Drosophila melanogaster: one gene and its partners. The protein of the gene in region 1 interacts with the protein of each later gene in a pairwise test. Each region holds a gene or a part of one and is shown in the gene's direction. Other genes may lie near its edges.

What was found.
Region 2: the proteins of C901 (region 1) and Plap interact in a two-hybrid assay, tested with the Drosophila melanogaster proteins (one large-scale study listed by BioGRID).
Region 3: the proteins of C901 (region 1) and vvl interact in a two-hybrid assay, tested with the Drosophila melanogaster proteins (one large-scale study listed by BioGRID).

What each region holds. Positions count from the first base shown.
Region 1 is NC_004354.4:10,965,526-10,969,279, reverse strand, and holds the start of C901 (C901), read left to right. Parts: upstream 1-2,145; 5' UTR 2,146-2,212; intron 2,213-2,725; 5' UTR 2,726-2,727; coding exon 2,728-2,865; intron 2,866-2,931; coding exon 2,932-3,070; intron 3,071-3,130; coding exon 3,131-3,289; intron 3,290-3,497; coding exon 3,498-3,689; intron 3,690-3,754. Other genes in the region: vex (vexed), read left to right, coding at 1-536.
Region 2 is NT_033779.5:1,168,584-1,172,337, reverse strand, and holds the start of Plap (phospholipase A2 activator protein), read left to right. Parts: upstream 1-1,972; 5' UTR 1,973-1,974; coding exon of another isoform or gene 1,975-2,104; 5' UTR 2,105-2,110; exon of another isoform or gene 2,111-2,157; intron 2,158-2,258; exon of another isoform or gene 2,259-2,379; 5' UTR 2,380-2,552; coding exon 2,553-2,710; intron 2,711-2,776; coding exon 2,777-3,643; intron 3,644-3,699; coding exon 3,700-3,754. Other genes in the region: charon, read left to right, coding at 1-315, 425-624, 695-1,308, 1,382-1,545; CG31922 (uncharacterized protein), read right to left, coding at 1,573-1,727, 1,785-1,919, 1,975-2,104.
Region 3 is NT_037436.4:6,788,152-6,791,905, forward strand, and holds the start of vvl (ventral veins lacking), read left to right. Parts: upstream 1-2,006; 5' UTR 2,007-2,674; coding exon 2,675-3,754. UniProt on the Drosophila melanogaster protein: Binds to a DNA sequence element required for the expression of the dopa decarboxylase gene (Ddc) in specific dopaminergic neurons. Could also play an early role in specific ectodermal cells, and a subsequent role in the embryonic nervous system.

The sequences.
Region 1 (3,754 bases):
GCTGTGACCTTGAGGCATTGATCCAAGACTCAGCCGGCAGCTCCACCACCGCCAGGACACCACAAGGACCCACTACGCCGTCCACGACCACAGTTTCATCCGCAGCCTCTGCCTTTGGCCAGCGTACGGATGACCTTGAGGAGGAGCGACTGCAGCGTGAGACCAGCAGCGAAGAGGAGGCGACCAATCAGGATGGCGAGGCGGAGGAGGAGGATGAGGAGCCGGAGCAGGATGAGCAGGATGACCTGCAGAATGCCCTGGACTCGGACAGCAACGAGAGTACCGACTACCGTCACCAGCGGCAGTCGCAGATGTCGCAAATGTCGCACAGCCGCCGGACAGCGGGAAAGCGCAGCGCTGTGCCGGCCACGCCCTCGCCCACGCTGCCGCCCACCTACCATTGCCGGGGGGAGGGGCTGGCCGGACGCACGACACGTTGGAGCGCGCTGCCGGCGCCGTCGTGCCGCGGCAAATGGCTCCGTCTGACCGTCGGTCCGCCCAAGAAGTGCGGCCACGCCCAGTTCATCTTCGTCTAAGGCGACGTGGTCATGCCGCCCACTCAAGTTGCGGTGTCCATTTTTTTTTTTCTCCGTGTAGGTTATGGTGTACGGTCTCCCCCACTCATCATATCATATCATATCACCCGCGCCCCTGCCACGCCCCCTCACTTCCGGCCCAAAATCAATAAAGTACCCCATCGTATGTAAGCGTTTAAACATTAAGCCAGTGGATTAAGAAGATCATAGCATATGTATGTATATGTATGTGTGATGAGGTCAGGATTTTTTTTTTTGTTTGTCTCGCTAGAGAAGAGAACCGGAAATAAAGGATACACTGCCAGTGAAATATAGGGTATATATGGAGGAATATCACATATTTCTGAAGTTTTCGAGGGGTTCTACAATTTCGGACTACTAACTTCTGCTCTCTTAGATACTTTATAAATTTAAAAAAAAACTTCCAAAGACTTATGATCTCCTCCACACACATGATATTCATCATATAACCATATTGATATCACGGCTGCTGTGGACTTCCTTCGGTTAGCATTTCTCTAATTAGTTAAGGAAACACTCGCGTGTAAGCATTTGGGCTCAGGACCCAATCAACAACTCAATATAAATGCTGGGGGTCTGTGAAGACGCTCGGATCTCGGATCGGATAATACTAGAAACTAGAGACTAAGTCATCAAATACCGCATAACATCTACAGTGAAAATGGAGTCGAGCTGCGTAGTGAAAGAACCTATATATACATGTATGTGGATGTGCACGAGTGTATCTGTCTAATCGTTAGTTCCCCCCGACTCGCAAGCATATAGCACACACACGTTCTACACATAACATAACATATATGATACATTTGTCAAAAGCAAATGATTAAGGCCCACAATTTTTGGTTACCCAACTGGCAGACAACCCTCTGGAGTCGGAATTAACGTTTGGATCTTAGTATTAATCTGGATTTTAGGTACACACGAATGTCGAAATAATTATTATAATTATAATTAAACCAATAATGAGATCATTCAATAAAGAACGAGTATAATTTTAAAGTAAACCAATGTTGTCTTTGAACATTTACCAATCTAGAGTCTTGAGCCATCCTGGTTTATCTACAACTTGTTTGGTGACTCGATCGTCAGTGCTGCACAGTGGGTCGAAAGTAATTGTAAAATAAAATAAAATAAATAGTTTTTGGGCATATAAAAAGAAACATTTAATAGTTAATGCTATTAAAGCATTTAATAGATTGGATATGTAGGCATATAGATCTTTATAGTATAATTACATTATTAATTTAAAATTGTTTCAGATTTTATTTATTTCCTGATTTTGTGGTACAAGTTTTCCTAGTTTTCTTCTTTTTCAAAGTGTAGAGTGGTCCATAAAAACCATATCTGGACCCACTGTGCTTGAGTACTCAGCTGTTTTGGGTTTACCGGTTGACCCAATTACCACCAATGGTCGGTTAGGTGCCTTTCAGCGCTCTTTCTCTGGCTTTGCCTCTCGGCTTCGAGGCTTGAGTTCACGGTGAAGGCCAGAAGAATGACAGAGAGAAGAGCGAAGACTTGACTTGACTTGACTTAAAGAAAGAGTCGAGAATCGGCCAGAGGCAGCTGGTCCGACGAGGCGGCTACTTGATTAGTCCCAAAGCGATCGCAGACCGAGACGGACCGACGACAAGAAGCTGCAGTCTTAACCGTTAAAAGTAATTCTTTTGCATTTGCATTCTTCAAGTTTCATTTCTTCTCGCCAGTGGTGATTCATCAAGAAATCGGTTGTTTGGTTGTCGGGTTCTCTGTCGGCGGTGTGATTCCCGTTCTTTTTGGTTCGGCCGCGAAGAAAGTTGTCTTCAAACATGTTAATTGCGACGAGGGGCCGTGGGCCGTCGATTTCTTTTAACGGTCTAAGTTTGGCCAAACGAAAACACTTTTCGTTTAAGCCGATAATCGAAAACATCTAGACATTTGACAAGGCCTACACTTAGGTTTTCTTTATTCAGTCATAAAGTTCAGCACATTAAGTTGGTTTAAAGTCTAAGAAACTTTTTTTGTGAAGAGGTCGTTAGATCCGACTTAGATGATCTTGCTTTTTATGTACACATAAAAGCCATTATTTGCAGGGAATTTTAACGGAGTAGTCAAACGTATAATATTAATAATATTATATTTATTAATAGAAACAACAAACACTTATTATATTATTATTAAATCGGACTTAGATATGTTGTCAGACAAAAAGGCGGCTCTCCTGCTGGTGACCGCGATTACCGCCCTCAAATTGGAGGAAATGAATGCCTATAGACGCAACTTCGATGCGCGGCAAAGTAGTAATTCGAATATTCCACTCTGGAAACAGCGAGTAAGTTGGAGAACCTAACGTTCATAATTTTCTCGAACCAATTCCGAAAATATTCGATTACCTAAGGCCTGTGAGAAATCACAGAAACAGCGGCAAAATGCACACTATGTTTGCGATGAAAAAGGTGACTTCAAGTGCCTTCCTGGGTGGCAGGGTGATCTTTGCCAGGTGCCTATGTGTCGAAGGGGCTGTGACCCGATGAATGGTATGTTTACTCCTTCAGATGATTCCCTATCTTGTGACCCCTGAACTCACATTCACACAGGTTATTGCCAGCGACCCGGTGAATGCAGGTGTCGCATCGGATACAGCGGCGAACTCTGCGACAAGTGCATTCCGCTTCCAGGTTGCCAACATGGCGGATGCACCAAGCCATTCGAGTGCATCTGTAAGCCTGGCTGGGCGGGACTCTTCTGCACGGAACGTAAGTAGTTACCGGAAAAGGATAAGCCTGATTACAATCTTACATTTAAAGAACGGAGCATTTAGAGAAGGAGTTAAAACATAGGGAACTAATATCGTTTTGGGGGTTGTACTTGTTATATGACATTTCCAATCAAATCAAACATTCCTAACTCTGTCCAATCCGATTACTCAATTGCCTGTTTCCTCCAATCCGCGCGCAACCAAAGCAAGTTGCCGTACCGGATGCCACAGCACCCGTGGATATTGCGAAGCGCCTGGGGAGTGCCGCTGCCGGATTGGTTATGCTGGACGCACCTGCTCCGAATGCGCCACGATGCCGGGCTGTCAGCACGGCACCTGCAACAAGCCACTGGAATGCCTCTGCCTACCCGGATATACCGGACTACTTTGCCAGACGCGTAAGTCCTGCAACCACCAAAGGAATCCGCCATTCACCCTACTAATCCCAAACTCCATTCCGCCA
Region 2 (3,754 bases), on another chromosome or scaffold:
CAATGTTCGTGCGGAGTCCAAAAAGTCGATTCATCTACACAAACGGATTGGGACACCGAGGAAACGCATATGCCTGGCATTACAAATAATTCATGCGAAGCCAAAGGGAATAGGCATAGCCACATGACCAGTTCAAGTTCCGAACCTATAAAACCGCCAGTAGATCCGACCAAAGTTCCTAAAAAGCGCGGTAGAAAGCGAAACACCTGCGTGCCACAGGTGGTCAAGCGATCAGCGGCTGAGATGGCGCTTAAGGAGCGCGAGGAGAAGCAACTGACGCCCGTGATCACTAAACGGAAGAAAAGGGATGTCACCGTAAGTACAAGTATTATTATGATGTAGTAGTTCCTCCTGGAAAGTACTAAGTTCATAAATCTCGAATGGAAATATATATACGATTTTATTATAAATATCTTTCTTACAGCAAGCGCAAAACTTCGAATCATATCAGATCACGAATAAAACCCCTGTACGCCGAAACTCTACCTTGTCGGATATATCGTTCAACTCCGATGAGTTGACCCGGGTGGAAAACTTTATAAGCGGAAACACCGAGGACCGCATTATACGCATCATGGCCAACGAATTCAGAAAGTCGCACATAATGTCCGAAGAAGGATTGCTGTAAGTATTCATTTAGCCGAATAAGACCATCATCATCGTAATGATATCATCTTTTCACATGGCACTTCAGACCCATTCACGAGGAAATACTGCACGGCGATGTTTACGGCGTTAAGCGTCAGATATTTGTGTGCTGCCACGCGAAAATGGACATCAACGAACTACTCACCAGGGACGGCGAGGACTGCCTGGAACTTGCGCTGACGAACGACACGGACACCGAGATTGTATCGCTCATCCTGGACGCTCGCATGATGACCGACCACCTCTACGAGAACTCAAACACAGCTCTTCATCTGGCGGTGATAAACCATATAAATATAGAGTCCATTAGGCTGCTGTTGCGCAGAATCGATTTGAACAGTCTTCTGCTAACCAACGATGATGGTTATACAGTTTTGCACCTGGCAGTGCGCAATAACCAGTTCCTTGTTGTCGAGGCAATCCTTGATAGTATAGACGAGCGCGAGCTGGGGGAAACGGTGTACAGGAGAACCCTGGAGGCAGCGAATCCGAATGAGTGGGACGAGAAGGGCTTCGCCAAGTACTACGATCGTGCCTGCGAACGGCTGGAGCTGAACAAGACGTTGCTAAAGAACCGTGCACATAAGCGGGATGTCATCAATGCATCCGAGGCGAGGGGCGGAAACCCACCGCTTTTCTACGCCGTGGAAGGGGAGCAGGGTAGGTTGCTGTCTATTAGTATATTAGTAGTTGAAGAAGTCCGATTAAGCTTTAAAGTTTCCTATTTGTACAGAACACTTGTGCTACTTCCTGCTTGCGCACTTGGCCGATCCCGACGAGGAGAACTTAAGCGGGCATTCCCCGAAATCGTATCACTACGAATACGCTCGCACGTTGCGCATCAACCTGAAAGTGGCGCGCGTCATGGAGAAAGTAATTAGCATACTGAATACTTGACATAAAGTGTGCATTCTGTAAATATATTTAGCCCCAACTGAGTTCAAAGTCGGTTTGCTTGAGTTTTTCCGGGTTAATGGGTTGCAAGGAAGGGGGTAATCCCTTTCGCAGATGAGTTTTCCAGGGCCATCTCTTGCATTTGTTGGTTTTCTTTCGGGATTTTCTCTTCTTTCTAGCGAGAACTGAAAGTTTTCAAGAAGAAGTTATTTTTCGTTTTAAATCTGCGTTTTATCACGCACCCAACTTCTCCAGTTCCCGTAGATTATCGCCACTATAGTGGGTAAACTTGCAATATGTTTCAAACTTGCAGTAACTGCCAAAGTATCGCTTGCAAGGAGTTTTCTGCCGCTCTTCAGTCAAAATCTTTTTGGGATCTACAAATATTGAAAATTCAGCTTTTTCGGGAATATCGTGCAACAAAAGCTTTACCCTCGTAACGCTTCAAATAGTTGCTCTTTGCAATTGCGTGTGCAATACCACCATTGTGCAATTTCCTCACATTCAGATCGTTTTTCAGAAAGCAACAGCAGTAGTCGCAATAATAACTTTTGCCACCCATTTAAATGTAAACAAAATAATACAATACTTTTAAGCGTAGAGATGGCAAATGTTATCAAGCCGTTCTCGATAGTTTTCCGGAGCATCGATAACTTTACCAACACTACCACCTTCATGAACCTTTTTGATATCGAACATTTTGAAAACAAATTATTATCGTACAATAATTGTCTGTATTCGACCTATTTAAAAATTAGATATACAATTTTTAAGGACATTACATATTCCGAATACCCAGAATTTTTTTATTTTTAAATTTATAAATTTGGCCGTTAGAATATTCAGAAACTATCGTCTATTGACCTCAAACCCATCGGATCGGTCCACCACTATCTGAGTGTGCGATTTTTTCGCACCGAATGGCAAAATCGCTGACAGCCGGCAAACAAAGTAACATTTCTTGACCGCAGCTGCTTGAACGGGATAACAGGAAGATCAGGACACCAAGCATGGAGCCATCGTTGGACAACTACAAGCTGAGCTGCGAGCTCCTGGGCCACAGCATGGATGTGCGGGCGGTAGCGGTGGGACCTCCAACTCCGGAAGGTCGCCAGACCATTCTGTCCGGTTCGCGGGACAAGAGCACCAAAGTCTGGAAGCCCCATGGGTGAGATTTGGCTGGGTCTGGTCGCTATGAATTACATACATACTAAACTGCCTTCGATCCTCATAGGAACGAGTACTTGGAAAGCCTTACTTTGCAGGACCACAAGAACTTCATCTCGTACATCTGCTTCCTGGAGTCGGAGCGGTGGATCTGCACGGCCAGCAACGACGCCACCATCTGCATCTACAAGCAGGACGGCTTTGTGCCCCTGTTGACCCTCAAGGGTCACGAGTCCACGGTGTGTGCTCTCTCGGCAGGATTGGAGCCACGAAGCCTCATCAGCGGCAGCTGGGACAAGACCGCTCGGGTGTGGACCATCAGCGAGGCGGGTGATGTGTCCTTCGTTGCTTTAGAGGGACACGAGGCGGCGGTTTGGGCGGTGGCCACCTTGAAGGAGCAGCGGAAGTATGTGACTGGTGGTGCGGACAGGAACATCTACTACTGGAACGCGAAAGGCGAGAAGCTGCGCCTGCTTAAGGGTCACACGGATTGCGTGAGGGGTGTCATGGGACTGGATGCGAACACACTGCTCTCCTGCGGAAATGACGCTGTTCTCCGCTTCTGGAACGAGGATGGTGAGTGCGTGCGCGAGATGAACGGACACAGCAACTACATCTACTCCATGGCTCGCAATGAGGCTCTGGGCGACCAAGTGGTGGTCTCCTGCGGCGAGGACAGCACGTTGCGCATGTGGAATGTGATCACCGGCGATGAGCTGGGAGCACCCATCATCCATCCCGGCATTTCAGTGTGGTCCGTAACGTGCCTACAGAACGGGGACATTGTCACCGGCTGTAGCGATGGTGTGGTGAGGGTATTCAGCCACGTTCCTGCTCGCCAAGCAAGTGAAGCAGTCCTTAAAGCCTTCGACTTAGTAGTGGCAACTAGAAAGTCTCAGATTAATGAGGAGATTGGTGGCGTCAAGAAAACTGAGTATGCTACAAGTGGATCTGTCTTATAGAACTAAACATATGGTTATCCTTCTTCAGCCTTCCAGGTCCGGAGGCTCTTCTGTCCAATGGAACGCGCGAGGGTCAAACGAAG
Region 3 (3,754 bases), on another chromosome or scaffold:
TCATGTAAATTTTTGTCTAAGGACCAACAATGACTGTGACTTTATTTTGTCACTGGGGTTTTTGGGTTGGAAACGCTTGGCTTATTAATTATGCCCAAGTGCGTGGCCAAAGGATATGGTCATGGAAAAAAAAACGTAAACAAATTTCATGCAAATACGCTCGAACTTGTCTGGCTTGCGTCTGCTCGGCTGGATGACCTTAGTTTGCATAATTTTTTGATTGAGCTCTTGACCTGCCTCAAAGGGGTCTAAAACTATGCTAAGTATTTTGTGGTGGGTGTTTATGGGATTCTTGGGCTAGTTATGTGTGCCAGGATTTATTAAATGAGAAAATATATGAGAGGGTAGCTTTGAACATTTTATGCATTAATTAAATATATTTTTTAAGTGGGAAAATTCTGAATATATGTTGACATATTTAAGGGAAATAGTGGGAAAATAATAAGTAATTTTTTTTTTAGAAAGGTAAATTTGGTTAAATAAGCTATTTTATGTCTGCATATATACATTTGACGGCAATTGGCTTTGAAGGCGAAATAGATTTCCATTGATTGTGTGCAGAGTTTCATTCATTCATTGTTTTAGGAAACATAAACTTTTACGGATATTTTTCATTTGATTCTTCGCATTGTCCCATAACGCTCCGCTAAATCAAAAAACTTTAAAACTGCACAGCCAGAAACAAAAGTCAGTATTCCAATGATAACTTTAACGATGGCAATTCCTTTAGCTATGCAAATGTATCGCTAGTTTCGCATTAATTTCGCAAAACTGATCATAGAATCAATGAAACTGACGGATGAAGTGAATCAATATCTTTTGTCAGTGAAACATAATTTAACTGTAAAGCAGTCAAAACACAGTCACAAACACAATGAGCAAAAGAAAGATATCAAGGTGGAAAAGAAAGGTATATTTTATGTAGGCAGCCAAACGAAACTTATATGCATATGAAAAAGAAAATTATAAAATATTCATCGGTAAAATGGTTATTTTTTTAAACGAAAATTTTAAATATCATTTCATACTAAACACTAATTTACTTTCTTTAATTTAATTAAGCTTCACTCACACATATTATAAACTGAAAAAATACAAATAAGATTTTCTTATATAACACATTGGTTAAATATTTAATGGGACACGGTCTATATAAAAAATATTTTCAACAGAATTCAGCGAAATTTGAATTGTCCAAATTCAAGTTCAAGATTTATTTATTTTTCATATTGATAATCAAATATTATTTGCTCTTAAATATTTTTACTATGCACACTTTTTTGGATGAACGATAAATAGTTAAATATTTAAACTGTTTATTTGTTTAATTCCTTTTCTACGCCACGTTAGTAATATGTTCTTCAAATCGCAATGGCAACCACTCCAGATGTCCCCCCTCCCAAACAAACACACACACTCACAAAGCCAAGGGAAAAGTTGTCTGGCCAAGGAGCTGCAAGGAACTGAAACAAAGCTCCCCGAACGGGAGAGAGAAGTCCTGGACGCAAAAGCTCCAACTGGGAGATGGCACTACGTGTAATCCCTGTGTTCCCGATAGCTGGACTCGAAGAAATCGAGAGATGCGCCGTCGCCGTTCATATCATCTCTCGCCCTCTCTCGCTCGCACTGGGCACTGGGCAATTAAAAATGTCACTCTGCATGGGAATGCACTGAGGGAACTTCGTAGAGCCGGCTCTGGTATTATTTTTTCATCTCATATATTTTTTTTGTTTTTGTTGGTTTTGGGGGCGTAACGCTGGAATACAGCGAGCCCAATAGAGCGCAAGTCTCCCTTCCAGTTGCTCGGTAGAGCGTCTATCTCGCTTGCCGCACCAATGGCGGTGCTGCTCGCACACATGGAACGCTGGAAGGCCAGCGGACAAACTGGTTTCGCTCGCCGGGGTGTGTGTGCGTACTGCGCTCGTTGGTGTGCGTAAACGTATCGGTGTGACGTACCGCCGAGCGTCGAGAGCGCTCAACGTAGAGCTGCGGTGCGAGACATGACGTTAGTTCACTTCGATAGCTCTACGAGTCTGCACGTGAATTTTCCCTGGGCTCTCGGCTGTCTTGACTGCTCAAATCTCACAACACACAATCTCAAATCTCAATCGGCATCGAATCGGTCAAGCAACCCAGTAGAAACACACATTCGAGAAATCTCAATCTGTATCTGAATATCAGAGTTCTGCGTTCTGACCACTGAGTTCTATCGATGATTTAAATCGTTGCGAAAAATCGCCACAAAAAGTGCCAAGTGTTAGAAGTGCTAAATGAAATTCGAAAATAAAAAAATCTAAATAAATAACCAAATAAAACGCAGTTAGCTCAACGCTAGTCAAGCTAAATAAACGTGAAACCCCAAGCAAATTGCCGTCGGATTTTTTACTTAACCCAAAGCTGAAATAAACTTGTTGAACGCGTTCGAGGGCCACGCCCCCAAAAAAGCAAACGTCGAACCCAAAAAAAAACAAAATAAGCGAAATAGAATATTTTTGCGCCTGCCACGTTGCCCGTAAAAGACGTCAAGACGGTTGCCTCACGGTTCGAGTGGAATGAGCATAGGGACCCTGGTCTTCCTTTCGATCGATCGGTGTACAAAGTCGTTAAACTGAGCCCCAACTTGGAGCCCTACCCCGCCAGCGTGGAGGGCCTGAACAGCCCCAGAGCGGTGGGGATGGCCGCGACCTCGTACATGACGCCGCCGAGCGGTGATCTGGACATGGCCCTCGGAGGCGGTGGCTATCACACCTCGTCGCCGCGCTCGGCGGCTGATGCCGGTGAAATGAAGTACATGCAGCACCATCATCATCATCATGCCGCTGCCGCGGCAGCTGCCCACCATCAGTTGCCCTCGTCGCCATCGCCCAATGGCCAGGGCAATGGTGGCGGACTTGGATTGGGTTCCGGTTCCGGGTTGGGCTCATGGAGTGCCCTCCATCCGGATCCGTGGATGCAAACCCATCATACGCACCATCTGCCCGCCGCCGCTGCCGTTGCCTCGGCCGCTGATACCGTCAAGCAGGAGATGTCGCATCTCTCGCAGCAGACGCGCATCCAACAGGGCATGGCCTCGCCCCATGCCGCCTGGCATGCCCCCCATGCGGGACACTATGCGCCAACGGGCGGGTCACCGTTGCAGTACCATCATGCCATGAACGGAATGCTCCATCATCCGGCCCATGCGGTTGCAGCGGCCCATCATCAGAGTGTGGCGCCACTGCATCATACGCTGCGCGGGGAATCGCCACAGCTGCACATACACCATCACATGGGCGGCGGCGATCGGGATGCCATAAGCGGCGGCGAGGAGGACACTCCCACGTCCGATGATCTGGAGGCCTTTGCCAAGCAGTTCAAGCAGCGCCGAATCAAGCTGGGCTTTACCCAGGCCGATGTGGGCCTGGCACTGGGCACTCTCTATGGCAATGTGTTCTCCCAGACGACCATCTGCAGATTCGAGGCACTGCAGCTGAGCTTCAAGAACATGTGCAAGCTGAAGCCGCTGCTGCAGAAGTGGCTGGAGGAGGCGGACTCCACAACGGGTTCACCCACGTCCATTGACAAGATCGCCGCTCAGGGGCGTAAGCGCAAGAAACGCACCAGCATCGAGGTGAGCGTGAAGGGGGCACTGGAGCAGCACTTCCACAAGCAGCCGAAGCCATCCGCCCAGGAGATAACCTCGTTGGCCGACTCCTTGCAGCTGGAGAAGGAGGTGGTACGCGTGTGGTTCTGCAATCGGCGGCAGAAGGAGAAG